2 linked regions of the Macaca fascicularis genome follow. The protein of the gene in region 1 purifies or fractionates together with the protein of each later gene. This does not show direct contact. Links are inferred from orthologs where the notes say so. Each region holds a gene or a part of one and is shown in the gene's direction. Other genes may lie near its edges.

Evidence for each region.
Region 2: the proteins of FHL2 (region 1) and EYA3 purify together in Homo sapiens (affinity purification with mass spectrometry; 3 studies listed by BioGRID and IntAct, with this or other methods). This does not show direct contact. The link is inferred for Macaca fascicularis from reciprocal best matches to the Homo sapiens genes FHL2 and EYA3.

Annotation. Positions count from the first base shown.
Region 1 is NC_088387.1:9,795,302-9,798,957, reverse strand, and holds part of FHL2 (four and a half LIM domains protein 2), read left to right. Parts: intron 1-347; coding exon 348-517; intron 518-3,656. UniProt on the Homo sapiens protein: May function as a molecular transmitter linking various signaling pathways to transcriptional regulation. Negatively regulates the transcriptional repressor E4F1 and may function in cell growth.
Region 2 is NC_088375.1:207,098,985-207,101,613, forward strand, and holds the end of EYA3 (protein phosphatase EYA3), read left to right. Parts: intron 1-914; coding exon 915-1,015; intron 1,016-1,990; coding exon 1,991-2,098; 3' UTR 2,099-2,116; downstream 2,117-2,629. UniProt on the Homo sapiens protein: Tyrosine phosphatase that specifically dephosphorylates 'Tyr-142' of histone H2AX (H2AXY142ph). 'Tyr-142' phosphorylation of histone H2AX plays a central role in DNA repair and acts as a mark that distinguishes between apoptotic and repair responses to genotoxic stress.

The DNA of each region.
Region 1 (3,656 bases):
AATTAATCGGAGCTATGCCACACTTCCCTTTATACTTTGCATTGCTGAGGCAGACTTAACTTTTTTTAGATTTAACATTCCTAACCACGGTTTTCAATAAATAAATGTTAAGTACCTAAAATGTACACGTGTTGTTCTAGGAGCTGGGTGTACAGTAGTGAACCAAAAGACAAAGTCCATGCCCTGCACAAAATAGGAATTACCTCCATTTAGAGGTGAGCCTTCAAGAGCTGAAGTGACTTGCTCTGGTCATAAAACTAGAGGGTGGCAAGCTCTGAAGGCAATTGCTGGGACTCCACGCCCCTCTAAGCATAACTCTGCTGTGTTCCTCTTGACCCTGATGACAGGTACCCGCAAGATGGAGTACAAGGGCAGCAGCTGGCATGAGACCTGCTTCATCTGCCACCGCTGCCAGCAGCCAATTGGAACCAAGAGTTTCATCCCCAAAGACAATCAGAATTTCTGTGTGCCCTGCTATGAGAAACAACATGCCATGCAGTGCGTTCAGTGCAAAAAGGTATTTCAGATTCCCCCTTGGCCCTTGCACATCCTGGCCGGTTTGCCTCCACGGTCCATGTCTGTCAGTTCTCTTTCCAAAAACAAGGATACCTGTGATACTGGAATGGCGTGGGAGCTGTGCCTGTCCTGCCTTACATGCCGAGCTTTATCCATTGGGTCTGGGCGCCCATCCTTCTTTCAAAAACATCAACGCTGTTGAGCTCCTGTGATCAAATCGCTTAACCCTGCCTTCTTCTAGACCATTCTAAATATATTCTTATGTCGATGACCTGATGGTAGAGGGAAGGGGAGCCACTATCCCAAAGCTGTCTTGTTCAGCTTCTCTCCATGAATAAACCAAGAAAACAACTGCAAACTTGAGAGGGAGAGAAAGATGGAAGGAAGAGGGGGAGAGGAAGGGAGGGAGCAGGGAGAAGAGAGAGACGGGATGTGAGAAGAAAAGTAAAGGAGAAAAGTCTGCCCCCGTGGATATGGGACAGATCATTTATCAAATGTATCTACTCTGGCCAGGCAAGGAGGCTCATGCCTGTAATCCCAGCACTGTGGGAGGCCAAGGCTAGTGGATCACCTGTGGGAGGCCAAGGCTGGTGGATTACCTTAGGTCAGGAGTTCAAGACCAGCCTGGGCAACATGGTGAAACTCCATCTCTACTAAAAATACACAGCTTAGCTGGGCATGGTGGTGCACCCCTGTAATCCCAGCTACTCGGGAGGCTGAGGCAGGAGAATTGCTTGAACCTGGGAGGTGGAGGTTGTAGTGAGCCAAGATCACACCACTGCACTCCAGCCTGGGTGACAGAGCAAGACTCCATCTCAAAAAATTAAAAAAATAACAATAAATAAACTTAACTACTCGATCTGTTCCAGTCATGGCTCTGTTAGGGTTAAAGAAAGAAAGGGAACTGCCTATCTGTAGGAAGCCAACTCTCTGCCCAGTTGCCCCCCGACCTGTGCCCGTCAGGGTAGAACTTGGTTTTCTGCTGTGCCCTCTGACTCTCACACACACGCAACTCTGATTATGCCGTAGCTTCCAGCGTCTCTGTGCTGTTAGGCTTTGCATCAGCCTGTTGAGTGGCACCCTCCCACGGCTCACTCGCCCTGGGCAATGCCAGCTGTGGAACTCATTGCAGGTTCTGTTTGCTCTCAACCTCTCATTGACCCTGCTTACCCAGCTTCTGCTGTGTTGCCCTTGGGGCCTCTACCCTTGCCTCTTGGCCATGGAGAAACATCCCAGTGCCTCTACCTGTACCTGGCTGGCCTGGGCAAGAATGTCCCCCTTGCCTGCACCTTTTCTAAGTGCTGAGTATTCTTACCAATTTCCATTCAGCCTTTCTCTCGTTTCCATTTTTTTTTTTTTTTTTGGAGACAGAATCTCACACTGTCACCCAGGCTGGAGTACGGTGGCACGATCTTGGCTCATTGCAGCTTCTGCCTCTCCAGTTCAAGCGATTTCTTTTGCCTCAGCCTTCCAAGTAGATGGGATTACAGGCAAACGTCACCATGCCTGGCCGACTTTTTTGTATTTTTAGAAAACACGGGGTTTCAACATGTGGGCCAGGCTGATCTCGGAACTCCTGACCTCAGGTGATCGATCTGCCTCCGCCTCCACTGCACCCAGCCCCTTTTGTTCTTTACTGTTATTTTAGATTTTATTTCTCTTAATTTCCTCTCCATTTATGCTTTTTTTTTTTGAGACAGTTTCACTCTGTCACCTGCGCTGTAGTACAGTGGCATGATCTCAACTCACTGCAACCTTTGCCTTCCGGGTTCAAGCGATTCTCCTGCCTCAGGCTCCTGAGTAGCTACTCAGGCTCCTGAGTAGCTGGGATTACAGGCAGGCGCCACCACCACACCCACCTAATTTTTGTGTGTGTGTGTGTGTGTGTTTTTTAGTAGAGATGGTGTCTCACCTTGTTGGCCAGACTGGTCACGAACTCCTGTTTTTTTCTTTATTCTTAGATTGAGGTCTCATTCTTGCTTTTATTTTAGGAACTCTCTTCCCTGTTCTCTCCCCTTTTTATTTTCATTTTGGTTTGTTTTTCTCATCAAGACCTAACAGAAGTTCATCTGAATTGCTCTTCCTCTGTCATCTTTCCAGTGTGTGCTTTATTCATTTGCGGAAATGAAAGCAACACATCCTTCTGGGATGCATGCCTTTTGTGTGCATGTTCGTTAAATACACACAAAAACCTTCACGCCAGAAGCATCCATTCCTCGACATGAACTTGGCCCTCTCAGGCACTGGGGATCCGATGCTGGACAAGATGCAGACACTTAACTGCAGTCTAGCTGGAAGTACACTCCAGTGTCAAACCCGTCAGTCGTTACTAAGCAGTGTGCTGTGGAGGAGAAAGGCAGAGTGTGGAATGGAGGGACCTCAACTCATCTGAGGAGTCGGGGGCCAGGGTGGCGTTTAGGGAGGGAGTCTCTGAGAAAATCATGCTATGCTGAGAGGCATCGAGTTAGCTGATGTGGGTGGGAAGCATGGAATCCGGAGTGAGGGAGGACTGAGGACGTATGTTGCAGGCAGAGGAGACGTCTTACACACACAGGCTACTGATGCATATGGATGCGTTGCAACCAAGCGTGTTTTGTGTTCATTCTGTTGTGCGGTGGGGTGGGTTATAGGAAGATGCTTTATGATTCATGGTTTAATGAAAAGAATACAAGATAGAAGGGAGTCTGGAATTCTAGCTCCTGCTTTGTCATTAACCAGCTATGAATTCTTCAGCAAGTCACTTTTTAATTTCTCTGAGTCTCAGTTTACTCACCCATAAAATTAGTATCTTTCTTACTTCACAAGCTTTATGTAAAGACCAAAGGAATTACTGGATGATACTGAAATGTTCAAAAAATAAAAAGCAAAAAAGCGTGATTGTGAGGTGCTTGCACTCCATCTTCCATGGCCTTCGTTTGCCAAGCTGAGGCCACCTACACTCCTTTGATAGCTTACTCAGCTCCACCACGCACGCATTTTTAAACAGAATGTGAGATGCAACATTTGGAGAAAAATACCAGGTAAAATTGAGGTACTGATGGCCGTTCCACCTTGTGTGGCTTTGCAGCTTCACCTCACAGATGTTCTAAGACCACAAGACGGGTGAGAATGAAGGCATCTGGCTGATTTTTCCCAAAACT
Region 2 (2,629 bases), on another chromosome or scaffold:
ATATGACAAATGTTGCTGCCGTATTTATTGGTCACTGTTCTCAATTCTATTCTGGGGCTCTTCTCTCACCGAAAGACATAAGGCCCATACACAGGACTGTTTCTGGGATATGAAGAATTGGAAGGAAATGGCTGTTTGTTTGTTTGTTATTGTTTCTGACAAGAAATCAGAGCCTTGTGTTTTCATTTCTCTTTTCTACCCTAAAACATTTCACCTCAAAAATCATTCATTCATTATGGTACAATGATCAGAGCCTAGATTTGGAGTCAGGGGCCCCAACTTCTAGCTACTTGCTTGTTTGTGATCTAGGGGCAAGTTACTAAACCTATGAATCCCTCCCATTTATAGAAATTCCCTCCCACTAAGATCTTAGGGACTTCACCCTCAATGTGAAGGTTAAAATAAGTTTTGTTTTGTTTTGTTTTGTTTTGTTGAGACAGAGTTTCACTGTTGTTGCCCAGGCTGGAGTGCAATGGTGCGATCTTGGCCCACTGCAACCTCCGCCTCCCAGGTTCAAGCGATTCTCCTGCCTCAGCCTCCTGAGTAGCTGGGATTACAGGCATGTACCACCACGCCCAGCTAATTTTGTTTTTTAGTAGAGACATGGTTTCTCCATGTTGGTCAGGCTGGTCTCAAATTCCCGACCTCAGGTGATCCACCTGCCTCGGTTTCCCAAAGTGCTGGGATTACAGGCATTGAGCCACTGTGCCTGGCCAAGTTGTTTTAATGGCACAACTTCACATTCTTTGGGTAGAGGGTCTACTGGATCTCTAGCTCCCATCCCTACTCCCCAGAAAGCAAACTACGTGGACTGTCATTTAGTCCACCTAAGCACAGGCAGGTGAACCTAGCAGCAGCCCTTTTCTTTGGTTTTGAAAAGAGTATTCTAACAGGAAATTTCTTTTTCTCATCAGGTAAGGAGAGCTGCTTTGAGAGGATTGTGTCAAGGTTTGGAAAGAAAGTCACATATGTAGTGATTGGAGATGGACGAGATGAAGAAATTGCAGCCAAACAGGTAACCATGGTAAAGAAAAATAGTCTATGTGGTTGTACATCAAGTAATTAGAAAAAATGAGAAAAACTACAAAATCTTAGCAATCTATTATGCATTTATAGTATCTTCTCTTTCTTCCTCTCCCATTTTTCTTTAAAGAAAAAGAGGGTCTTTTTTTTCTCCAGATGGAGTTTTTCCTTTTAAGTTTTAGATCCATCCCTTCCTTTTCCTCCCTGTCACTCAAGAATCTTAAAATCTTTAAGCCGTTCTACAGGGATCCCATCATTCAACCTGAGATGTGCCCCATCTTCCATCTTCAAAGACAGTGCCTTCTCAAGCATCAGACTTGACTGCAAAAAGGCTAATCTTTCTTTCTTTTCCATTATTCAAGTTCTCAGACAGTACAACCAATAGCTCTTTCTGTAGAGAACGTCTTTCCTGCCTTTGAGCCCTGGAAAGATTGCTCTGATGTTAACCCCATCACTATACAGGTCCCAACTTCAGGTCACCCCTTATTTATTTATTTATTTATTTATTTATTTTCTTTTTTTGAGACGGAGTCTCACTCTGTCACCCAGGCTGGAGTGCAGTGGCATGACCTCGGCTCACTGCAACCTCCGCCTCCTGGATTCAAGCAATTCTCCTTCCTCAGCCTCCCAAGTAGCTGGGACTATAGGCACCTGCCACCATGCCCAACTAATTTTTGTGTTTTTAGTAGAGACAGGGTTTCCCATATTGGCCAGGCTAGTCTCGAACTCCTGACTTTCTGATCCACCTGCCTCGGCCTCCCAGAGTGCTGGGATTACAGCCTTGAGCCACCACGCCCAACCCAGGTCACCCCTTCTTGATATACGAAACAGTAGATGAAAGAGTCTTGGCTATAGAACCTAAAATCCCATCTGTGTATCAGCTATGTGACTTTGAACAATTATCCTCATCTGCTAAATGGATCTGTAGAAGTTCTTTCCCTCCCTACCCCAATTTATTTTCTTCCAGCAACTCTATTTCTTAGACCTGGAGGCATTGGGTTGCCAGCTAGAACCAACTGCCCTGATACTCTTCATCCAGTTAAGTAGAAATCTTAGCAACTATAATAAAGTATGAGATTGGTAATCAGTCGGCATTATTATCTCATGTTTCCGTTTGCTACTTTATGTAGCAATTCAGGGATCCTTATTTTTTCGCATATGTTATGAAGCTTTAATTCTAATGTGCTTCTTGTTGCCCTTTTTGGGAAAGACACTAGTGGGTGTATGCATCAGTGTTTCCTGGTCTGAAGAATGGTATGGGGGAGAGAAAGAACAGCTCAAGTCATCAGCAGAGTTGGTAACTCTGACAATGTCTAGAATCATCTACAATAGAATACACCATTGTGGCTGGGCATAGTGGCTCACGCCGATAATCCTAACACTTGGGGAGGCCGAGGCAGGCAAATCACCTGAGGTCAGGAGTTAGAAACTAGCCTGGCCAACATGATGAAATCCCGTCTCTACTAAAAATATAAAAATTAGCCGGGCATGGTGGTGCATTCCTGTAATCCCCGCTACTCAGGAGGCTGAGGCACGAGAATTGCTTGAACCCTGAAGGCGGAGGTTGCAGTGAGCCGAGATTGTGCCACCGCACTCCAGCCTCAGC